Linked DNA regions of Saccharomyces cerevisiae S288C. The protein of the gene in region 4 interacts with the protein of the main gene of each other region in a biochemical or structural test. Each region holds a gene or a part of one and is shown on either strand. Other genes may lie near its edges. The genes, in order: YCK1, GLC7, CLP1 and YSH1.

The links.
Region 1: of the proteins of YSH1 (region 4) and YCK1, one has a biochemical effect on the other in vitro, tested with the Saccharomyces cerevisiae proteins (one study listed by BioGRID).
Region 2: of the proteins of YSH1 (region 4) and GLC7, one has a biochemical effect on the other in vitro, tested with the Saccharomyces cerevisiae proteins (one study listed by BioGRID).
Region 3: the proteins of YSH1 (region 4) and CLP1 form a complex in vitro, tested with the Saccharomyces cerevisiae proteins (3 studies listed by BioGRID).

The regions. Positions count from the first base shown.
Region 1 is NC_001140.6:372,194-378,452, forward strand, and holds YCK1 (serine/threonine protein kinase YCK1), read right to left. Parts: upstream 2,118-6,259; coding exon 501-2,117; downstream 1-500. Other genes in the region: metalloendopeptidase WSS1, read left to right, coding at 1-365; SPL2 (Spl2p), read right to left, coding at 2,461-2,907; ARO9 (aromatic-amino-acid:2-oxoglutarate transaminase), read left to right, coding at 3,516-5,057; YHR138C (uncharacterized protein), read right to left, coding at 5,162-5,506; SPS100 (Sps100p), read right to left, coding at 6,026-6,259. UniProt on the Saccharomyces cerevisiae protein: Casein kinases are operationally defined by their preferential utilization of acidic proteins such as caseins as substrates.
Region 2 is NC_001137.3:429,291-435,513, reverse strand, and holds GLC7 (type 1 serine/threonine-protein phosphatase catalytic subunit GLC7), read right to left. Parts: upstream 3,020-6,223; coding exon 2,843-3,019; intron 2,318-2,842; coding exon 1,556-2,317; downstream 1-1,555. Other genes in the region: PMD1 (Pmd1p), read left to right, coding at 5,065-6,223.
Region 3 is NC_001147.6:800,470-806,394, forward strand, and holds CLP1 (cleavage polyadenylation factor subunit CLP1), read right to left. Parts: upstream 1,839-5,925; coding exon 501-1,838; downstream 1-500. Other genes in the region: APC5 (anaphase promoting complex subunit 5), read right to left, coding at 1-262; TUM1 (thiosulfate sulfurtransferase), read right to left, coding at 2,081-2,995; TMA16 (Tma16p), read left to right, coding at 3,198-3,734; peptide alpha-N-acetyltransferase subunit NAT5, read left to right, coding at 3,908-4,438; protein-transporting protein SEC63, read right to left, coding at 4,563-5,925. UniProt on the Saccharomyces cerevisiae protein: Component of the cleavage factor IA (CF IA) complex, which is involved in the endonucleolytic cleavage during polyadenylation-dependent pre-mRNA 3'-end formation. Associates with HRB1/CF IB to form the cleavage factor I (CF I) complex.
Region 4 is NC_001144.5:695,604-702,577, forward strand, and holds YSH1 (cleavage polyadenylation factor subunit YSH1), read right to left. Parts: upstream 3,893-6,974; coding exon 1,553-3,892; downstream 1-1,552. Other genes in the region: DBP9 (ATP-dependent DNA/RNA helicase), read right to left, coding at 1-1,227; YLR278C (uncharacterized protein), read right to left, coding at 4,396-6,974. UniProt on the Saccharomyces cerevisiae protein: Component of the cleavage and polyadenylation factor (CPF) complex, which plays a key role in polyadenylation-dependent pre-mRNA 3'-end formation and cooperates with cleavage factors including the CFIA complex and NAB4/CFIB. Has endonuclease activity.

The DNA.
Region 1 (6,259 bases), on a different chromosome or scaffold from region 4:
ACGACACATTTTTGGGGAACGGTCAACGTCTCGGTGGAAGAGCAAACTTACGTTCAAATAGATATCCTATGACAGGAATAAGTACTAACACAGGGATAGTGAGAAAAAGGGGCAAAGGTGTGAAGTTAGGGAGTTTGCATCCAGAGGGTATATCATCTATAGATAGAGGTAATTCCCCGAGAGAGTTGGCGGCTTTTGCAGCCGAAAGGAGATATAGAGATGATCGCTGGTGCGGAGAGACGAAGAATAACAAAGATCAAATAATAAGTGATAATATTAGCAGCTCCTTAGAAGTTGTAATCCTTGATGATGATGACGAGGTACTCCCGGGAGATACTCTTATCGAAGTTATTGATCTCACTTAATCTCTTGTCCACAGCGAAGAACTCGAAAATTATAAGTATGGTAAATGTCGTTTCGGTTGTAAAGTATACAGATATATTCACATTACAAAAAATGTAAGAAAGACGGTAGTCTTGCAAAAAATGTCATTTCTATATTTAGCAACAACCTAATTTTTGGAAAAAGCCCTTATGAGAAGCAGCTAGACTTGAATTATCGTCATTTGGGTGCTGTTCAGGAGTTCTTAAAGCAGCAGAAGGTTGTTGTTGTGGTTGATAACGAGCGCCAAACTGCTGAGATTGAGTTTGCGCTTGAGGCTGAGATGGAGGTTGGCCTGTTGCACGTAGCTGTTGCTGTTGCTGTTGCTGCTGTTGCAATTGTTGCTCTTGAAGTTGTTGCTCCTGAAGTTTTTGTTGCTGCTGTCTCTTTTGTTGTTCTTGCAGGTATTTCTGCTGGGTTTGATGCTGGTAAGCTTCATAAGAAGTAGGGTCTAACTTTGGTTTATATTGAGAATTGCGCATATCTGCCTCAGTTTTTTGAGCATATTGCTGTTGCTGTTGCTGTTGTTGGAGCTGTTGCATTTGGAGCTGTTGCATTTGGAGCTGTTTGTTTCTATGTTTTCTCGATTTTTCGTTTGGTGGATTTGGATGGCCGTATCCGTGGAGATTTGGCTTCTTGTTTATGTTAAGATCCCAACCACGGCCATCGTTCAGTTTCATCCAATCATATTGGCCGTCCGCGGTTTCACCTAAATCATCCAGTACAGATAGTAATAGTTTTCTATAGCCTTCATAATCGGGACACTCTTCAAAGGAAAGACTTCTGACGATTTCTAGATACCTGCCAAATTGCACAGGTAAGCCTTGAGCTAGATCGTAAACGTTAGTAGATCTTTTCTTTTCACCAATCTTTTCGTATTTTTGCTTATTGTTTGGAGCTTTTAAACCCTGCCAGGGTAAGTGGCCTCTCAAGAAATAAAAGAAAACGTGACCCAAGGCCTCCATATCATCTCTTCTGGACTGCTCTCTTCCAAGGTGAGTATTAATGGACATATATCTGGCAGTGCCGCTGAGTGATTTTTTCTCTCTATATGGGATGTGCTGTTTAGTTTTCGGATCACGATACTGTTTGGCCATACCGAAGTCGATCAAATGGATGTTGTTTGCGTCAGGTTGGCCGGGCCTTCCAATCAAGAAATTGTCTGGTTTGATATCACGGTATATCAAGTCATGTGCGTGCAAGTCTTCAATCAAAGTAATCATTTGGACAGCAACTTGCACAACCGTTTTGACAGAAAATTTTCTTCCACACCAATCAAATAAATCTTCCAAAGAGGGACCCAAAAGATCAATGACCAAGATATTGTGCAAACCTTCTTGGCCGAAGTAGTACGCGTAGGGGATATTGGGAGTGCCATTCAGAATTTTATATGTTTTATATTCATCTCTTAATTGAGGGGCCTCCGTTTTTCTGGGCTCGAATTTGATCGCGACGGGTACGCCATTGATCATATTAGTACCTTCAAATAGCACACCAAAGGAACCTTCCCCTATTTTTTTGCCGATCTTGTAATGTAGGCCGACAATAGTAGAGTCATCTCTGGAAGAGTTGCTGTTGGAGTTGGCGGCGGTCGTGGCGGTCATCGAAGATCTTGCGGGCGAGTCGACAGCCTGGTGGTGGAGTTGTTTGTTTGCTTGTACGTTAAAATTTGCGTTTCCGTTTATATTGGTGAGGTTGTTAACTGCTAGAGTGGTACTTGCTATGGGCATGGACATGGGGAAGAGGAGAGCAGGAAAAGGGCCAGCGAATGCGCGAAATTTTTGTATGTGTCTTTTCTCTACTATGGCATCCACATGAAAACCAGTCACAGAGCACTCAATGAACGGTTTGCGTTTGTTGTTTGTAAGAAGCAAGCAGAAATCAAAGACCCATGTATACGATCGCTGATTTGTTTTGTTCTGTTTTTTCTTGTTCCGGCGAAAAAATCGTAAGAAACGAAAGGAGAACGAGCCCACAGGCGGGGTAACATCAAAAGGATTTATATTAGATCGTAAAGTCAATGCATATGTAACAGTACAGAGGTAGAAGGTATGTATGTGTAACGATTAAGAGATGCAATCATGATTGTTCTTCGTCAGACGAATCTTCGAATATGTCTTCGTCAATGACACAGTCGTTCTCCCAAAAGTCATGGGCGAGCTTGCTTAAAACGGCGGCAGCGTTTTGACGCTGCGCTCTACTTGAATCTTTCTCATTAATGTACTCGTTATACTCTTTAAAAGTTGATCCACTGAGAGATTGTGACTGCGATGTTCTACGTGGAGTATAGTAACTAGCAGGATTGAGCCTCCTGCACTCTTTGAGCCTCAATAGAGAAGCGATCTCCTCGGAGAGTTTTCTTCCCTTATGCTGGTGACCATCTTTAAGTTGTTTGTGTTGTCCTTGTGAAACTGCTGTTTCCATTTTGCCGCGTGGAGACATCTGTCCAATTTGCCCCTGGCTCTCTGTAAATACCCATATATGAACGTTATATATATTGTATATTAATGGCGTATATGTGCCCATGGGAAGTCATAGTAATAGATCTAGGCACGTGGCTGCAGTGACTCCGCGCAGGGCTGTACCGCCAAGGTAGATAAGAGAGCGGAGCACGTGGGAAAAGAGAGATACGGTATGTTACAACAGTCAAAGTAATGAACTTTCGCCCACGTGCGTACATCATTTACTATCTCAGGCCGCTGCGTTTGGAACTTTACGGCGTTGTAGTTGTAATTGCCATAACTGCCATGCATTTATGTATATATATTTTCGTACGTAATGAACATGGTTATGTTATATATTGTTTGCAATCAGAGAGAAGTTGAAGAGGAGAAAAAAAAAAAGAGAGAGCCGTACCGCAATAAAATGGACCCTTGTCGGTCACGTGAGCAAAAATACTATTGCCGCCGACGGCCGTAGATAATAACAAAGGAATAAAAAAAAAAAAGCGGTAACTCGCGGAAGCATTGCCGATGCTTACCGAGATTTGCCGCGGATAACCGAACCATCATTGGGGTAGGAAACATTATAAATATTTGATATATATAAAGGAAAAAGCTTGATTTGGTCTTGTAATATCCCAGTGTAAACATAAAAATACACACATACCACAATTACACTCTCTCATCGACTCAATGACTGCTGGTTCTGCCCCCCCTGTTGATTACACTTCCTTAAAGAAGAACTTCCAACCGTTTCTCTCCAGAAGAGTAGAAAATAGATCTCTGAAAAGCTTTTGGGATGCTTCTGATATCTCAGATGACGTCATTGAGCTAGCTGGTGGAATGCCAAACGAGAGATTTTTTCCTATCGAATCTATGGATTTGAAAATATCAAAAGTTCCTTTTAATGATAACCCAAAATGGCATAATTCGTTTACCACGGCGCATTTGGACTTGGGATCCCCCAGTGAGCTACCCATTGCACGTTCTTTCCAATATGCAGAAACCAAGGGTTTACCCCCTCTCTTACATTTTGTTAAAGATTTTGTGTCCAGAATTAATCGCCCAGCCTTTTCCGATGAGACGGAGTCTAACTGGGATGTCATCCTTTCTGGCGGGTCCAACGATTCAATGTTTAAGGTTTTTGAAACAATTTGCGACGAATCGACCACTGTGATGATTGAAGAGTTTACTTTCACCCCGGCTATGTCCAATGTGGAGGCTACAGGAGCAAAAGTCATCCCCATCAAGATGAACCTGACCTTCGACAGAGAGTCCCAGGGTATTGATGTCGAATATCTAACGCAGTTGCTCGATAATTGGTCAACTGGACCATACAAAGACTTAAACAAGCCAAGGGTCCTATATACCATTGCAACGGGCCAAAATCCTACCGGGATGTCTGTCCCCCAGTGGAAAAGAGAGAAAATTTACCAGTTGGCCCAAAGACACGATTTCCTCATTGTTGAAGATGATCCCTACGGTTATCTGTACTTTCCTTCCTATAATCCGCAAGAGCCATTAGAAAACCCTTACCATTCTAGCGACCTGACTACTGAACGGTATTTGAATGATTTTTTAATGAAATCATTCTTGACTTTGGATACAGATGCCCGTGTCATCCGTTTGGAGACTTTTTCTAAAATTTTTGCTCCTGGATTAAGGTTATCCTTCATCGTTGCTAATAAATTCCTTTTGCAAAAAATCTTGGATTTGGCCGACATTACTACAAGGGCCCCCAGTGGTACCTCACAAGCTATTGTTTATTCTACAATAAAGGCAATGGCTGAGTCCAACTTATCGTCCTCTCTTTCTATGAAAGAAGCAATGTTTGAGGGTTGGATAAGATGGATAATGCAGATTGCTTCTAAATACAATCATAGGAAAAATCTTACTTTGAAAGCCTTATACGAAACAGAATCTTACCAAGCTGGTCAGTTTACCGTTATGGAACCCTCCGCGGGTATGTTCATCATTATTAAAATCAATTGGGGGAATTTCGATAGACCTGACGATTTGCCGCAACAGATGGATATTTTAGATAAGTTCTTGCTGAAGAATGGTGTTAAAGTAGTGCTTGGTTATAAAATGGCTGTTTGCCCAAATTATTCAAAGCAGAATTCAGATTTTCTAAGACTCACCATCGCCTATGCAAGGGATGATGATCAGTTGATTGAAGCTTCCAAAAGAATCGGTAGTGGCATAAAAGAATTTTTTGACAACTATAAAAGTTGAACAGTGAAGATTAAACCTATGTGTTATTTGCATATCATATATAAATTGTAGTTTTTTGTATAAAAGTTGGGAAAAAGTTATAGTCGCGTATATTTTAAATTACTCTAAGCAACTAAATGGTCACGGTTTAGAGCATGAACTTCTGAATCCTTTTCCAAATTGCATTTAGCACCGTACTCGCTTTCAATATAGCTCAAACGTTCTTTCAGACCGTCCAAAATTTGGTCGCTATCAGGTAAGTCCACTGTAAAGCCCTTTATCAAGCTATATTCGTGTGTTATTTTACCCCCTATGTCCACCACATATTTTTTGACATCTTCAATAATGCTATTCTGGTCCGTAGCCATATTATCCGTCTTGGGGAAAGTTACGATGTATGATGATAAGGAAGATGCCTGTGCCATGGAGAATATGCTAATGAAAATCAAAACTAAGTAACTGGCCTTCATATATATGCTATAGTCTGTTACACAATAGATTTAAATGTTGTAATATAACGAGGAAACGCAACTTATCCATTTGTTCTCTCCATCGCATCGCTTTTTCTTAAATACTTTTGCCCCCCACCCCTTTATCCACTTGCGTTTTCCTCTTTTCTTCGCCTCTTTTTGGTAGCGCCGACCGATCTAATCGGAATAATCAAATTTAATAGGAACTGAATATTAGAAATTATTGAAGTCAATATACTGTAAAAACTATAAATCCTGTAACGAACATAAAAAAAGAAAACATAAAGGAAGCGCGTGATGTATCAGTAACATCACATAGTACAATAAAAAAGAAAGAGAACACTGATAATAACTGTACTGAAGACAAACAATTAGGAAAGTAACGACGATCTTTCTTTCGTCCAGTCATCATAACAATATGTGTTTTTGTTTTTGTTTTTGTTTTTGTTTTTGTTTTTGTTTTTGTTTTTATTTTATTTATTTTTTGCTTATTTTCGTAGTACACAACACATAATCATCTTATTGTTGACTAACAGGGAAGATTTGTTGTAACTCGCTACTACTTGTGACTTGATTATGGATAGCAATAGACAACAAAGTTTGCGCTTGGATTGGTGACAAGTACCCAGCAGAAATTGCACCTTGTGGAATACTTGTGTTACTTATGAACCCAATTCCTGAACCATCATGACCACTGGATCCATCACTTGCATAAACGACAGGGAAGTCGACCGATGTCCATGATGCCACGGT
Region 2 (6,223 bases), on a different chromosome or scaffold from region 4:
AGTACTATTGGGTAAATAGAAAATATTAGAACTTTTTCTCGGGAACCTATTTGTTAAATAAAACCCAACTAACTATCGTCTATCGACTGGTATTCATATCACTATTATATTATCACGTACGGTATAAGAAGATGTCATAGAGATTGAGAAATAGTCACCAAATATAATAGCACCTGAAATGCAAGAACTGATAACGTAATAAGAAAAAGAATGACAAAGTATAAAAGGAAGAAGATAAAGTAACATTATTATGTAGAGCTATCGATTCGCCTTTTGTAGATTCCTATTTTTTCTCGAGGAGAATTGCAGCATATTCGTTCTACGTAATATTGCAGCCTTTAACAACAATGGAATCCAACAACTGTCTCAAATTGTTCACCCATTCCCAATATACCAGTAACATACGCACTGATTAATAGAAGCCAATTAATTTCTATTCCAACAAATTTACTGAAGATTCCTTTGGATTCCAAACAATTTCGTAATTGCTCAAACAATTCATTAAATATTTACACAAAAGTACAAAATAAGGATACGGTTCTTGTTGTATCTCAAAATGAGATACGTCAGTATGACAATACGTCATCCTAAACGTTCATAAAACACATATGAAACAACCTTATAACAAAACGAACAACATGAGATAAAACCCGGCCTTCCCTAGCTGAACTACCCAAAAGTATAAATGCCTGAACAATTAGTTTAGATCCGAGATTCCGCGCTTCCACCACTTAGTATGATTCATATTTTATATAATATATAAGATAAGTAACATTCCGTGAATTAATCTGATAAACTGTTTTGACAACTGGTTACTTCCCTAAGACTGTTTATATTAGGATTGTCAAGACACTCCGGTATTACTCGAGCCCGTAATACAACAGTTCTCCATTGAAAAGTCGCCATCTTAGTATAGTGGTTAGTACACATCGTTGTGGCCGATGAAACCCTGGTTCGATTCTAGGAGATGGCATTTTCTTTTTTACCTGTCTTATTTTAGACAGGTTGACGTGATTGACTAAATGATTTGGCCAACTTGTTTATAAAAGGGTTCAAAGCCAAAGGAAGACGTGACCATTCTTAACAGTGCAACGAAAGACAGCCTCAATATAGAGTTAGACAAAATAATAATATAGTAATTTAACATAGTTTAATATAAAAATAAGTAAAAAAATAATAATACTAATAATAATAGTAATGATAATAGTAATAAAAGAAAATAAAGAAAAATTGCATTTCGTTAATAATAATAGTGTAGACTTATCATTTTTCCACTAATTCAAATCCTTCACATCTTATTATTATCTCCTTTTTTTTATATTTTTTTTATGTTTCTTATGCTTTTTCGCGGTTTGTTGCACTAAAGGGAATTATTTGTGTATATGACGAGTGATGATTGCATCTTCCTTTGTTTTCTTGATGTTTCTTTCGTATTCTTCGCTTAAAGAATTGACTAAAAGTTTTCTACGTTTATGTTTCTTGTATTTTTCTTCTACTACTCTTCTTGTTAATAAGTATTTTCCTTTTTAAACTTTGATTTAGGACGTGAATCTATTTATTTTTTCTTTCTACCCCCAGCTTGCCTTGGTAGACTTTTTTGGGCTGGCTTTAAAATTTGAAAAGAACATAATAAACTTTCATCAACACTCATCATTGCACCAGCGTTATCAAATTCACCACAATAATTCGGAGCACTGAAAAGTGTCACCAATTGTCTTTTACTAAAGAATTCATAACCATCTTCCACAACTTGATGGGCCCTGCAAATCAACTCCATATCTTGTTTCTGTAAAAATCTGTTCACTACATCAGGACCAAAAGTGAAAGAAACACCTCTATCATTTTCACTCCAACCTACGATATCTTTATCTGGATCTGACCACAATAAGTCACATAATAAGCCAACGTCGGGAATATCTGTTGGCCTCATCACCCTTCTGATCTGTTCCATACTATTCAAATCTGGTGAGAGACCACCATGCATACAGAAGATTTTCTCATCAATAATTGCAGCAATTGGTAAACAATTGAAACAATCCGTGAAAGTTTTCCAAAGTTTGATATTATAACGTCTCTTACATTCATCATAAAACCCGTAAATTCTATTAATGGAAGCACATTCATGGTTCCCTCTTAAAATGAAAAAGTTTTCTGGATACTTAATTTTGTAAGCCAGTAATAGACAAATAGTCTCTAAGGATTGTTTACCACGGTCGACATAATCACCCAAAAATAGATAATTAGATTCTGGCGGGAATCCACCGTACTCAAATAGACGTAGTAAATCATAGTATTGCCCATGAATGTCACCACATATCTAAAAAAAAAAAAAATAGAAAAAAATAAGTTAGTAAATGAATTTGTCACTAAATCTAGCTCATTCCGTTGACTTTAAGAGAACAATTACTGCTGTCAAAAACGCTTCATTTCTCCCAATGCCTTCTGCAAATCCACATTTCTTGGTTTTCGTCCGACCTTTCTCTCGGGCTCAAAAAAAAAAAAGATTCGTTTTCTTCATAACGAAAAAATGCCTTCTTTTTTTAGTGTGAGCAAGGGGGATTTTTCTGAATATGGGAGGCGCCGGCCGGATGATGATACAAAACATAAGGAAATCTTGGTAAAAAAATGCCTAATAAGATAGAAAAATGAAGAGCTAAACACACACATTATCTCGGCTATCTCGACATATGAGTAGGCTAACATCAGATGCTTGGTAAATTCTTTCAGTCAAACGGAAATAACTGCTGTAACTATCTTACTGCCGCAACAGGAGTAGAACACATAAAACACCTGAAGCTCTAGGCATTCTATCTCTTGACTGCGAAGTTCAACATTAACATACTTTAATTGGGGCTTCTAACTCTAGTAAAATGGGTTGCTTTATGAATATAGATCTGGCTTTCGAACATAAGTATCTGATTTCATTTTCTTCTAGATCAACTTGTTGACCAGGTTTAGATCCTCTTACTTCCAATAATCTATCGATGATATTATCAACGTCAACTGGTTGTGAGTCCATTTCTTTAATTTGAATGTATATTGTGGTAATCTGCTTTCCTCTCCCCAGTTACTCGTTCGTTCACCTCTTATTTTTTTTTTCAGTTGTGGTGTTAACTTGTGTTACGTTGTTTTTTTCTTCTTCTTTTCTACTTTTGATTTTTTTTTCCCTCTCTTGTTCCTTGAAACGAACGCTAAAAGAAAAAACAGCAAGAGCAAGAAAAAAAATGGGGGAAGAGCGAATAAGCAATGATTGTTATCTACATAAGGGGTAATTTGGCTAGTTTCTAACTGTCATCCCCATGCAGCCTGTCAAAGACTGATATATGCAGTCAAGAAATAAAAAACAAATTGCAATAAGCTCTCCACTATAGATGGCACAAAAACAGGTTAATAACAAGTAGTTATTACATTCCTCAACGAGATGAGCCAACAAGCAACCAATAGTGCACCTACTTGTCTAACTTTAATTGAGGTTGTGCTCACAAGAAATGTTTTGCCAGGTATCTACCTCAATTGAATAACAACCGCAAAAGCTTTAGTACTAAATTGTCTCTCACCTTGTCTTCAAGAAAAGGGGAAGGTAGATGAGAGAGAAGTCTTGCAATTTTTCTCAACCTTTCAACTCGAATGGAAATCAGGTTGTAAGGGAAGCAATGAAATGTCAGCAAACAGCCACTGACTGTAATTCTTTTGTTGGAGTAAAAATCAACTATCATCTACTAACTAGTATTTACGTTACTAGTATATTATCATATACGGTGTTAGAAGATGACGCAAATGATGAGAAATAGTCATCTAAATTAGTGGAAGCTGAAACGCAAGGATTGATAATGTAATAGGATCAATGAATATTAACATATAAAATGATGATAATAATATTTATAGAATTGTGTAGAATTGCAGATTCCCTTTTATGGATTCCTAAATCCTCGAGGAGAACTTCTAGTACTTTCTACATACCTAATATTATTGCCTTATTAAAAATGGAATCCCAACAATTATCTCAAAATTCACCCACTCTTCATCTTTGAAAAGATAATGTATGATTATGCTTTCACTCATATTTATACAGAAACTTGATGTTTTCTTTCGAGTATATACAAGGTGATTACATGTACGTTTGAAGTACAACTCTAGATTTTGTAGTGCCCTCTTGGGCTAGCGGTAAAGGTGCGCATTTTTTCACACCCTACAATGTTCTGTTCAAAAGATTTTGGTCAAACGCTGTAGAAGTGAAAGTTGGTGCGCATGTTTCGGCGTTCGAAACTTCTCCGCAGTGAAAGATAAATGATCTACTATGATGAATGACATTAGCGTGAACAATCTCTGATACAAAATCGAAAGATTTTAGGATTAGAAAAACTTATGTTGCCTTCCTTCTGAAATTTATTTTTTGTCACTATTGTTATGTAAAATGCCACCTCTGACAGTATGGAACGCAAACTTCTGTCTAGTGGATAACAGAATTTTTCTATGGCCAATTTATTCTTTTTTTTTTCCCTTTTCTTAATGTGCGTATCATTGCCGGGTTTGAAATTTCGAAATTAACTACTAAAAATTACCGCTTTAATGTATGGAATATGTGTATCTTGCTAGTTTTGCGTTGCCCTCGCGATATCCCTATACGCCCACAGTGCAAACACAGTAGAGCTTTGTGATAATACTCGCAAGGAATACAGTACATCAAAAACTTATTACACAGGCTTTCCAGTGCACTCACACCCACTTTACTGTTTTTTCTGCTTTTTTTCTGCTTTTTTTTCTTTTTCTTTTTTTCATCTTACTTACTTGAGCCTAGATAATAGAAGATAGTAAGTTTGGCAGAGCCCAGTCACAAATACAGATTAACCTCTAACAAAGTCCACATCGACACCGTTTCCAACTTGATATCATAAACTTTGGATATTGTATTAAAGTTACCAGTATCACTTTTAACAAATTTTTTTTTTTTTTTGGCTATGCTCATCGTTGCCTGAGTATTCTTTAGTCATTTCCAGTTTCTTCAATAACAAAAAACATTAGTACGCGTTTCTATAATTAGGTGAAAGCATAAAGTTTTTAAAAATGACCGTATTACAACCACCATCTAGTGTTTGTTATCCGCTCAACCTCCCTATTGTACCGAATCCCAATCTGGATGAAGCAACAAGGAAGAAGCTCACTTTGGAATGCAGAACTGGAGCTGCAGTAGAACTAGCCCGTTCAGGTGTTTTTGTCCATGGTGGGCTCACACTACCTTTAAATCTGACTATTATAAATTCATTACAACTGCAAAAGGAGCTAATTCTATATTTTGGTAAACAGAAGGATAGAAATGCTGATTTTAAAACATTAGCTGATTGGATAAGCCCTGAGATATTTTTCCTTGATTTAATTTCCAGAACATGGCAAAGAATAAATACTACAATAGATACTACATCAGAAAATGAGTTGAATAACGGCTTAAGCTTTAAAGAGAGATTGTTTCATTCGATGTGCTTCACAGAATCCAACATTTACATTTTCGGTGGGCTTATGGTGTCGCCTCACAACGGCTATGAGCTGATAGCAACAAACGAATTATGGAAATTAGATCTTAAAACAAAGTGCTGGTCTTTGATAAGTGAAAACCCTCAAATTACAAGACGTTTTAATCATAGTATGCACGTCCTAAATGAAAATAACGAAAATCAAGATACGAAGCTAATCATTGTAGGTGGGTTAGATAATATGGATATTCCTGTTAAAAAAATTGATATATTTAACCTACGTACAAGTTTATGGGAGTCAGAATCGAAATCGGACGAAAACCCAGCTTCAAAGGGGTCGTCAAAAATACTGGTTAATATTGATGGGATGCCAATTTCTTTATCTCACGATTCCAACTTCTCAGTTCTGATTGAAAATAATCAGGCAGAAATTCCGACATTGGCATTATATTACCCTCAACGCGAGGCAAACACGTCCAGAAGGGGAACCGACGATGGTAGTTTCTCTACTTACGCTCATGATCTAGACGACAAATCCAAACTACCAAAACATCACCATCACCATCATGGCGATCTTAAGTATTTTGAAAGCGATGATGCAGATGAAAACGCAGTAAAAACACTTATGTCGCCTATCGTAATTTTGCCACTACTTGGAAACTCTCAGGGCGCTAGGATGACATCAAACCCTACACAAAACAACAAAGAAAACTCTATTTTACAAGTACCTTTTCACTTGCAGTATCCCTCAGGTA
Region 3 (5,925 bases), on a different chromosome or scaffold from region 4:
CATCTAACAGTATCCTTATTATATTATCTAGAATAGGAAGTACAGGAGGAGGAACAATAGATGAAGATCTTAAATTACTATTATCCTTGAGCAGAGGATTCCATTCTAGTGAAGGTCTAGTAGGGGATATTAACCGAAGAAATACTGCTGTTGGCACTGATATGCCATTATCTTGTGAGCAGTGAGCATGTATTAGGATTAATATGCATAGATCGTACGGAGTAATAAAGTTAGTAATACCCAATGGACCATACTTACTCATTTTTCTGATCAGTTTTGATTTGCCTTTTCCTTTTAACTCTCGTCGTTTTTTATATTCCTCGATGAAACTGCAGCAGTTTTTTAGCTAGCGCAAATAATGTCAAAGACACAAATTGGCAATATTGTTAATATATAAGCGTTGGAAAAATTAAAAATAAAAATCACCCAAACAATACTTCGACAGTACAGTACGATATTTGTATGGATTTGATATAAGGCTCTTGAACAGATAATTTTACTTACTCTAAATATCTATATGAAGTTAGAATCATCGCCTTGCTGGGAAGTCGGCCTGGGACAGGTAGTAAAACCCTTAATTTACGCCTTTTTTCATTAACTTCTGTAATCAAAGCGAATCCTAAAATAGGCGATTTTATTACTGTTGCCTGATCTGCCCTTCTTTCTGCGAACGTTATGGCTATAATAGCGTGCTGTAGGTTACTTGGAGTTATAGTGACGGGGAACAGTTCCACCCTACCGACCTCGTTATCGAAAACATTGCTAGGTTTCCAAATAGTTAAATCCTCATAATCAACACCAATAGCATAAGGACTCAAGGCTGTATCAAGAGAGCCGTAAAAGTACTCTCTTATGGATGTCCTCTGCAAGGATCTTTTGTATACATCATCAACTGCGGATACACCATCCAATTTAGGAATGAAAAAAATATTATTATTTCCCAATTCTGGACCAAATGTCTTTTTTACTTTCTCCCAAAGAGGATCCGTTTCAGAACATAGTACTAGCATAATGTTAACATTGAGTTTCTCAATGATATGGTGCAGTTCAGCCAAATTTTCATCCAGTTGTGATATTGATGGCGTATCGACAATGCACCCTGATCTCCTGACTTGAGGATCCAAATGTAACCTTTGACCTACTACTTGACCTAACTGGCTTATACACTCAAGGTATAGATCTTTGTTCTCATTAATCCTTTCCAGGCCAAAATTTTTCACCATTGGCTGCTTATTATGTAGTAGTGTGGCACCACTAGTGAGACTCTGACCCCAAGTGGGTAGTTGTGCATCAAGTATATCTGATATTGGGGTGGCAGATATGCATCCAGGAACAGTAAAAATGGGCTGTTGAGGGTCAAGATTGATGTATAGTGGTTGGTAAGCGTTGAATTTCAAAGCGTAAGAACATAGTGTCCTCGATAGGGAAGTCTTCCCGGTTTGCGAACCACCAACAATCACCACTCGAGGGCCTTCAAAGTTAGACATTCGTATCTTCTCCAACATGAAGTGTAGATTATAAATATATTTCATAGTATGGTTAGGCTTGACAGTTATTGTATTCGTAGTTAAATCAGGACATTTCCATAATAATTCTGTTTCTTCGACAGCGTATATGGGAAACTTCCAGTTCTGAAAAGTGTACTCATCATCTACTGCCAACTCGGTGCCAAATATCTCAACTATGCCCGAGTTTACCTTGACTATCAGTTTTCCCTCTGCTTTAAGATCAATTTGCCAATCACTGCCCTTGGGAATAACCAACTTGTGCCATTCGTTATCACCAGTTATCAATTCTTCAGAGGTAGTATGCTCATCAATACCAGGTAGACTTGCCATGATGGTTTAATCGTGTTGGAATTTCGAAAAGAATTAATAGTTTGTTCTTTTCCCTCGATAGAAAGGTCTCTGCTCATTTTTGCCAGCAGTCTTATTTTTTGCTGTTATTTTCTATTTTACCGGGCAATAACAATGAAGAGCACAAATAAGACAAAGAAAGGGAGATCGCCCTTTAAGTAAGTAGATAGATAATTAATATATGTAGCTAAATAAATCGACTTGTCAAGAATATATTTCTCTTATTAATCTCTGTTTTCAGCAATCCACTCGGGCCCGGATTTCAAGACCCACTCGGTCCAGGATCCATCATATAATCTAACATTGGGAACTCCTGCTAGCTCCAATGCTGTCTTGATAATGACTCCTGAAACGCCAGTTCCACAAGAGCAAATAGTTGGTTTACTTGGGTCCAAAGTGCAATGAAAGTCTTTCAATGCCTTTTCCAAAGTAGCGTGTATCGCCTCCCCAGCTTCTGGGTACGTTTTGGTCTCCGGATCAAGTAAACTTCCATATGGTAATGGTTGGGTACCTGGAATATGCCCCGATGGAATGTCGGAACGAGGCTCTGGTTCTGTACCTTCGAATCTACCGAGCGACCTTGCATCGAAAGCATTGAATTTCTTAGCCAGTTCCCCACTCTTTACCAATTGGAACATTTCCTCATAGTCTACAATCTCCTTGTCTTGGAAACTTTCTGAGGACTCATAATGACTCTTTGGATAGGGTGAAAACGCTGCCACCTTAGAGGAATCTAGAGGGTACTTAAACTCTCTGTACTGGTTGAAATTATTTAGTAAGTACACCTTAGGATGTCCCATCACTCCTAATGTCCAAGCACATCTAGGGGAGCTAAAGTTACCAACACGATCGTAAACCACTAATATATCATCTTTTTGAACTCCTAAATTACTCATAGCGTCGTCAAAAACCTTCTTTGTAGGGAACATATGTGGATAGGGCGATTTTTTGTCACTGATTGCATCAATATCAAAGAAAATGGAGTTTGGTATACGTGGTTTGGTCAAGAAATCCACTTTATTATCAAGCTTCCAACTGGGTAGGTACCATGTTGCATCAACTGGAACGATTCTATGAACCTTCTCACTGGCCACTAACTTAACAAACGCTTTTGGAGAAATAAGATCAAATAATGGCATTGAATGTATGGGCAATTTTCTTCACAACTTTATGCTTTTGTCCTCATTGTTTGAATGCACTTACGCTGTATTATTGTACACAGCTGAACATCCCGAGCGAAAATTTTAAAATGGTTTAATAGACGAGATGAGAGATGAGCTCTTTAAAGGTACTTTCTAAGAAGAAAAGTATCGGAACAGGACTTACCACGACAAACTAATCATGCCGGTTACTAAATCTTTATCTAAGTTGCAAAAGAACTTATCCAAGAAAGGGAAAAATATCACGGTTCATCCGAAGGGTAGAAAGTATGAAAAGCTGGTCAGGGCTACTATGCGTGAAGATAAAATCGCAGCCAAAAAGAAGCTTCATCAAGACAAAAGAGTCCACGAACTAGCTCGGGTAAAATTTATGCAGGATGTAGTTAACTCTGATACATTCAAAGGGCAACCAATATTTGATCACGCCCACACAAGAGAGTTTATTCAAAGTTTTATTGAAAGAGATGATACGGAATTAGACGAACTCAAGAAGAAGAGGAGGTCAAACAGGCCACCAAGCAATAGACAAGTGCTACTGCAACAAAGGAGGGATCAAGAGTTAAAAGAATTTAAGGCGGGGTTTCTCTGTCCAGACTTGAGTGATGCGAAGAATATGGAATTTCTAAGAAACTGGAATGGCACTTTTGGCCTTTTGAATACTCTAAGATTGATCAGAATTAATGATAAAGGTGAACAAGTCGTTGGAGGAAATGAATAAGAAGTGTCGCAGAGGAATCTTTATGGTTTATATGCTCTTTATATAATTTTATGTATATTATAGTAGAAAAAGCAAAGAAAAAAAAGAAAATTGATATTATTAGCGAAGCTTTTTCACAAATTAATCCGTAACAAACAAATTGGCAAAGACAATTGAAGGGAGTAGTGCGAAATATGGGCCGTGATATATGCACATTAGACAATGTTTACGCTAACAATTTGGGCATGCTAACCAAACTAGCTCATGTGACAGTACCAAACTTATATCAAGATGCCTTCTTCAGTGCATTATTCGCTGAGGATAGCTTAGTTGCAAAAAATAAAAAGCCATCTTCGAAGAAGGATGTACATTTCACACAGATGGCTTATTACAGTGAAATACCAGTGGGTGGTTTGGTTGCTAAATTAGTTCCTAAAAAACAAAACGAACTATCTCTCAAGGGCATTCAAATCGAATTTTTGGGCGTGTTGCCTAATTATAGGCACAAATCCATCGGTTCAAAATTACTGAAGTTTGCAGAAGACAAATGCTCAGAATGTCATCAACATAACGTGTTTGTCTATTTACCAGCAGTGGATGATCTTACAAAGCAATGGTTTATAGCTCATGGCTTCGAACAAGTGGGCGAAACTGTCAACAATTTCATAAAAGGTGTAAATGGCGACGAACAAGATGCTATCTTATTGAAAAAACACATTTCTTAACAGATGGCTGAAAAATTTTTTTTTTTTTTTTGGTTTTGCTTTGTATACACATGTATCTATTTTTATAAAGATGAAATATATACGTCTAAGAGCTAAAATGAAAAACTATACTAATCACTTATATCTATTCTGGTGATTCATCATCTTCAGCTTCTGTATCCGTATCGATATCAGTATAATCGCTAGCATCACTTTCATCATCACTTTCGGTTTCGTCGTCATCAGTAGAGTACTCATCATCCTCCTCAGAATACACCTCTACTTGTTCCACTGCAGGAGAATCACGAACTTTCATATTCATGGTAATATCCAAATCTGTAGTGAAATAATCTGTGGATTTAACGATTACTCTAAAAAAGAAATCACCAACAGTTTCAGGTGCAGGCTGACCTAATGGAATTTTTATGGTCCCGATTTCCCAATCATTTATATCGAATTTTTCGTGTTTGGTTAAATCCATTTTTATCCTCTTATCAAAGAAATCTTTGTCATCGTTCAAGTTCTTGTAAGATAGCTTTTCAATGATAATTGGCGTTTGAAGTATTTTACCATCTTTTTGAGAACTTACCAGACAGCACCAACTCCCACGTCTCTTTGTAGGGAAAAATGGTGCAAAGGAATATGGGACGAGTGGCTGTTTACTCATCATAGCAAATGGATCTCTTTGAGATTCAAAATCTTGAGGTTCTGTTAAATTTTCTTCAGGAATTAAGCTAGTTGGTATCAATGGCTGTTTAGCAGAACGAACCAGTACTTTCAAAGAAATGTATGGGGTAGATGATGGTGTTACTTGGTTCTCACCTGGGACAAGGAAGTCTGCCTTGATGATCTTTAGATTTGGAATATGCGATGCAACTCTCAAAGTTTCGTTTAACTTTGCTTGATCCTTTATTCCAAGAACCTCACCAATCTTGGCATCTTCTAAAGTAAACAATTTACCTAATGTATGAATATCTCCGGTTTTGGTAATAAAGTGCTCTTTATCTACGTTCGGCAATTGAAGGATTTGACAGTTTGGTGTTAATGGTACAGCCTGAACAATACACTTGAAAGTATTGATTGCACCCAATGCAATATCTAAATTTCTGAATCCACAAGCAATATCCAATAAACCGTGTAACAAAGAGTGACATTTGGCCACTATTCTAAATTTCGCATTGTTAAGTTTACCACTATCTCTGCGGTTAATATGATCTTGCAAAAGTTTTTCAAAATCCGTTGGTTGCAAATCCGGGAAGAATTGTTTAAATTCATGAGCAAATGATAACCAGTGTAAGATCAAATCTGTGGTGACAATCTCAGATGGCTTGTAATTGACTAAGTTACTAACAAAATTAGAAGCCGTCACATTATGTATTCCCTTCTTAGTATACGATTGTGTTCTTGCCCACCATCTACTAACAAAATATGGCAAGATTAAACCTAGTAGCGCAACATAACAAACCACTAATAATGGAGATGCACTTCCATCTACCAAAAATCTTGGT
Region 4 (6,974 bases):
ATGCACGTAGGACTTAGCCGTCGTAGGTAAATCGAAATTGAGGACACATGCAACATTTTTGAAATCAACACCACGAGAAACACCATATTCCTTATCTTTCTTCACTTGGACCTTCTTTTTCTTGCTTGGTTTCTTATCGTTCTCAGGCTCGCCTTCCAAGCTTTTTTCTTCTTGATTTTCTGTATTGTGCCCTTCTTCTATTTCGTCATCTTCCTCTTTTATGTACTCGGTGTCATCTGTGGCAATCAATAGTTGGTAAACGTTTTTATTGAATTGGTCAACAATATGTTGCCTCGAATTAACGGGTAGCTCGCTGTTTAAAATACAGGACTTGATACCAAATTGTTCCATAACTAGCTTGAGCCTATATCCTCTGTCAATATTATTTACAAAAATTAATGTTTTACCCTTGATTAAGTTAAGTTTAAAAATGACATAGCATAGTAAGAATTTGTCAAATTCACTGACTTTAACGTAATATTGAAGTAATTTGTTTTGGTTCTTATTTATTTCCTCGTCATTGAATTTAAGAATAGCTGGAGAACGACAAAATTTTTGTTTCAAAGCCTGTATATCGTCATTTAGGGTTGCACTCATCAAAAATGTTTGTAAATTTTTTTTCAATGGTAAGTACTCTCCAATTTTGTTTAAATCATCTTGATAACCAAATGTTAACACTAAATCCACCTCATCAACTACTAAAAATTTTAGTTCGTTCAATGAGATAGAATTAATCTTTGTTTGCAACAAATCCAATAATTTACCAGGTGTACCAACTATGATTTCTGGTTGATCCATAAGTAGAGTGCTCAAAACTGAGTCAGACATATCGGATGATATGTTCAGAGTTCTTATATCTTTTGAACAATATAAGACTAGTTTTTCTAAAACATTATATACTTGTTGAGCCAGTTCTCTTGTTGGAACAAGTATAATACCTAGTGTACCATTTTCCTCTCCGTTATCAATTGTTTTTTTATATTCTAGGATAGTTTCAATTACAGGAATGAGGTATGCCAAAGTTTTTCCGGAACCTGTAGCGGCCTTTGCTATAATATCTCTCTTCTGTTGTAAAGCCAAAGGAATAGCATGTGATTGAATTAATGTTGGGTACTGAAATCCTATATTCTTAATAGCTTGTAATAAACGAGAGTCGAGATGAAATGCTTCGAACGTTGTAGAATCGTCAATATAAGCGCCTTCCACAGACTTTTTCTCATAGCTCATTTTTTTGATCTTTCGTTGCAGTTTTGGCTTAGTCTATTTCTTTTGTGAGATAAATTGTAGATTGACTATAACTATCAGCCAAAACAAAAGGCTCTTACTCAATGAAAGAAATTAGAAGAATCGAAATGAAATGAGATGAGATGAGATGAGATGAGATGGTCTAGAAGAGTTATTCTTTATGTTCGTGAAAAAAAATTTTTAAAATTTCATCTCTAGGTTTCATTACGTAAAGAGTGATTAAGGTAAACAATAAAAGGCAGTTCTAACCAGATTTTGGTTTGGTATTACTTCTATAAAGTAGTCTACTTAGTATGCGTAACTGTTTTTAACATAGCGGTGTGACCAAATTACCACCAATATTTAAGAGGCTTTCCACCCTACCTTTCAAAGGATTTGAATTACATTCTAAAATTTTCATATTGTTGAAGTCAATCTTAGCAGTGCTTTTACCTATGGTAACCACTCCAGTTATAGTTTCCTCTTTATTACTTGCATATTCATCTTTATTGAGAAATAAAGTAAAACAGTCACCAAACTGTTCTTTAAACAACCTTGAGATTTGCTTCACCCTCTCAACTTCATCAATCTTACCTTGTGCATTAGACTGCACATTGTTATGATCATGATCATCACAAGAATGACTCGAAAGCTTGACACTGGCGGGAGCTGAATCCACATTCATAAGTATAGCAATAATGGAGTCTGCTACAGTGTCATTCATTAAATCTTGAGTCCATTCCACAACGGCTAGAGTATTAACAATAGTTAACTTAATATCACCCATTATCTGTAGAATCAATTTACCTGTATTGGTCAGATTGTCTTTTGACTCTTCTTTAACCTTTGGTTCTTGATTTGTTACTCTATCATCATCTTGAAGAACTTCAGCCTCTCCAAACATTTGTAAAATGTGCCAGTAAATTAGCTCCTTTTTACAATTTACACGAACTGACTGGCGCTCTCTTAATATCGTTGTAGAAAGATCGGGATGGTGCTCTCTTAAATCAGACAAAGAAAGGAAGTCTAATTCGAAATTTTTGTCATCTGAAACTAGAATCCCAGAAACGACTATGTCTTTGTGTTCCTCTTCATCAACCAAACCTTTTTCTGCTTGAGAATCCAAGTTGTCTTCGTTTTCTTCCTTTATAGGTTCAATTTTAGCCGCAATTTCTTCCTTTATCTCTACGTTTTCTTCTTTATATATTTCGTTCACAATATTTCCCACAGCTTTTGCAACCTTGACACCTTGAAATTCAAGATCTACTTCAACACAGTTTCTAGGATTAAAAACATGGACTTCATTATCTGTACCCTTTAAAGACGCGAAATTGGATAACAATGCAGATTTCAAACGGCCCATGGGATTGGCTTCTCCATGAACAAGGATGATATTTGGCGCACTAATCTTTTCAATAAATTCTAAATTTTCCTGGAAGTCAACGTGTGCGGCAAAGGAGATTTCTTCAACTTGACAACGTCTTGGAATGGTTATTTCCGGATTATTTATGGAAGGTATTGTATCTGGCTCAAGCATAATAAATTTCGCCATTGTTCCTTCGATGGAGTAACCGGTGATTAGTACTAGATTTTTATCTTCAGGGCACCACCTTTCAAGTAAATCTCTTGATAACCCACTTTGCAGCATACCTGGTGAGGCCAACATCACACTGGGACCAAAATCTTGGAAATCCTCCAAGTTTCTAAGATAAGATATATTTTTGAATATGAAGGGATTAGTCTGAGAGTCTCTAAATTTTTTTCTAATGTCATCATTCATCATATTTACATAGGTTTGAAAAACGCTCATACATTTTTTTGCCAAATTTGATGCATAAAATATTGGGACTTGTCCACCACCGAGTTCATCAGCATGTTGAGACCAGTACTCATCCAGTATAAGCATGATTTCTTGAGCTCTCCCTAAAGCAAAAACAGGCAGTAGAACACGGCCTCCTCTCATCACTGTGGAATGGATTAGTTGGGTTAGCTTCCTTTCTCTATTTAAACGGGGCTCGTGAGTAGCGGTACCAAAGGTAGATTCCACAATTAATACGTTGGATGAAAGTGGAGGCACCTCAGCAGAATTTAAGTGACGATCTACTTCTCTCGAATAGTCACCTGTGAATAACACCCTAAGGCCAGCAATCTCTATTTGAAACATCGCTGCACCCAATACATGGCCTGCATGGAATGCCGTAAATTTGATACCATTGACGTCAACAGTAGAATGATAGTCCACCGTTTCAATTTTATCGAAAGAATCAACTAAATCCTCATCTGAGAATAGACCTTCGTCTTTAGTCCCCATAGAGGAGGATGAAGAACCTATACTAGTAACTCTTACAAAATCTCGCAGTAGCCATCTGTAAATGGCTTTGGTTGGATGTGTCATGAAAACTCTGCCTTGAAAGTTAGTCCGTTGCATCACATACGGAAGTGAAGCGGCATGGTCTAAATGGAAATGTGATATCAGTAAGATATCGACTTTGGAAAGATCAAATTCATCGTAAAAAGGTAATGAAGCTAATCCTTGATATGCCGGATGAATTCCTGCGTCGAGCATCACTGTTTTACCTTTATATTGCAATATATGACATGATCGTCCAACTTCGTTACTTCCTCCCAATGAAAAAAATTTGAATGTTGTTGTATTTGTTCGCTCCATATATGCGTATACTTATTAATGTTAACTTATTATGTTACTTTTTATTTCCTCAATGGACAAAATTCAATTGATAATACAATGTTTCTTTTGTGCTGTAACTTTTGAAGTACTGAAAACAAGGGTAAAAGAAATAAACGCTTATACCCGTGAACATTTTGAACCTATTAGATGTGATCTCAATATGTATTGCGCTGAAGCAGTAGAAGTTGTTAAAGATCCGCTAGTTTTTCATAATTTTCGGCCAGAATAACTGCTTACCCGTATTTATTTGCAAACACGCTACTTAGTCTTTTGGAGAGGACTTTATACAGGAAAGAAAGAGTTTTATTGATTTTAAAAACAATATAAATGAAAGAAAAAAATGTGTTTTAGATTAGGCTTATAAGATATGACCCATATCATAATTAAAAAAAGCGATTTAGTTGTTCTTTTAAAAAAAAAGAGAAAAAAAAAAAAAAAAAAAAAAGGAATGAGTTTGTACATACTATTATATTAATGTAGTATCACGTTAAAAAGCCGTAGTCATCATTAATCGTCCAAAAGTCTTCTACCGGACCAGATGTCATCATGTTATCCCAGTTAGAACGCTTTTTCCTGATGTCTGCGTTAGTTACTGTAGGAATAACATTGTCGAAATGCAGATTTGCGCTAGTGTTTGCTTCCACCTGTGTTTTAGGTCCATTCTTCTCTGTTTCGTCAAGATTATATTGTACACCTTCCTGATTGGACATCATGAACAAATTTCTGTTATACGAAGGGTCATTCTGCGTCTGTTGAAAATTATTAGCGGTTACATTGTTTTCAGAACACATATTTTGTTGTTGATGTTGTTGCTGCTGTTTGTCCATGGACAGAGATGAAGGCTCTTGACTCTGGGGAAATATTGTTTGTAGTATGGACTTGCTATTCAAAGCATCTAGAACGGAGTTATTGGTCCAGGTGGAAATATTGTTGATCATGTCATGAGCACCGTTGCTGAAAAGTATATCGCCCGAAGAAGAGCCATTTCGAGCTTGTTTGACACTGACCGGAATTGAATTGCTAGTAAATGACGCTGGTATCGAGGAGATAATATTATTGCCATAATCTGCTCTTAGGGGTGATGTACTGAAATTTGATTCTTCGACATCTCTTAATTGCTTATTTTCACTTGTATGGTTAGAGAATATTGCAGATTGTAGAGGATTACTGTTGATCATACCATTGTTTAATTGATTCGTAAAATTGCTTTCTGAGAATCTTTGTGGAGAAGTAATATGTTGTTGTGGCTGCTCCCGCTGTTGTTGCGGCAGTGGTCGTGATACATGCTGTTGCGGTAGCATATTGGAAGTTTGAGGATATGGAGTTGGGCTTTGCGTCATCGCTATTGGAATCGGATCCGAATGCGAAGAGGCTGTAGATATGCTAGAAGATTTTGAAGGACTTCTATTGGTCATAGTATCGGTGTTCAGGGACGATAGATACGCTTGTAAATTGTGCTGAGCTAGTTGCTGTTGTAGAAAGGCCTGCTGTTGAAATACTTGCCAATCAAACTCTGTTTGGTTGGTTGGTTTCTTGACGATATATTGGTCTTGAATAGGCCTTTCTACATCATTTTCCATAGTTACGTTGTTGTTACGAACATACTGGCTGTTGTTGCCATTATTGCAGCTGTTGTTGGTAGTGCTTCTGCTATTACTTTCATTATCATTATTATTAACATTATTATTATTATTACTATTATTATTATTATTGTTATTATTATTATTATTATCATTATTATTGTTGTGATTATTGTTGTGTTCTCTGTTGACGCTGCTGATGGTCATACCATTGTTATCATTGTTTACATTGATTTTCAGGTTTTTTTCTTGGGAAGAAGGAAACGATAATGTCGACGATGATGACGAAGAAGAAGATGATGACGAAGAAGATGTTGTATAAGACATTGAAGAATTTGAAATACGTGACCTGTCATCCATTTTGGTTAATAGGTGAGCTAAACTTTTGGGTACAGAGGTCTTTTCTAAAACACCTTGCTTCTTCTTGAATTTCTCTTGTTCAGCCAAATCCACTTGTGAATTTTCCACAAAACCGGCGTGCTCTTCAGCTTGTCCTTTACCAAATATTCTAGCCACAGCAGGCGGCATACCGCCATTATGAGATATATTTTTATCGTTTGAATTGGATAGATTAGCTGCATTTGCGGAGTTAGAATCATGAAGAGTATCCCCAGATGAAATTGCCTTATTGGCCTCATCATTGATGTTCTTGGGTTCAGTACGCTTGGCGACACTACTAGCCATGAAAATTAACTCAGAAGAGTCTGGACCACATCTTTCAATCAAATTACCTACCGTGGCATTCATTAACTGATCGAAAGTATCTCTAAAGGTTCTTGCAAAATTAGACCTTTCTGTCATAACATATAAACAAACGGAGCAAGCTCTCAAATCATCCATCGTCGAAAAGAGACTTGCACTGATTAAAGGTCTAGTATGCTTCGAAGCATCGCCTAATTTCTTCCTCCTTTGATCGTCAAAATTCCTGGCTAACCACATACAGTAGATTAAAGTTACGCCAGCTACAAAAACCGTATGCACTGCTGGTGTAGAATGACCATTAAGCGTTTTTTGATGGAATATCTTGTATAACTGACAAATTTGACCCGCAGCAGCTTGACATTCTCTAAATAGTCTATCCTCCGGGGCGAAAAATTCCAAATATGGTTGTATAAGCAATCGCACTGATCTATAGTAATAAAGTTTTAGTGTCTCGTTTTCGAAATTTTTCACGTCAAGAGTGGAATAACTTTTTCTCCAAACTTCCAAATCTTCAAAAAATTTTCGTACTAGGGGCAATTGATCAATGGATTGCTTCACTGACCTGGAATCGTTTTTCAATAGCTGTAAAGTCTCTACAAATTGAGATTCAATTCTTCGCAGCTTTAGAGACTGATTGATGAATTGCACACCATGGTCATTGGTTGATGGAGCCGCCGCATGCACACCTTTTGTATAAAAAGAGTCGTTATTGAAAAGAGGTAAATTTATTTCCGACTCCTTGATTGTATAAGGTTTCCCCACAGCAACACAAATCATTC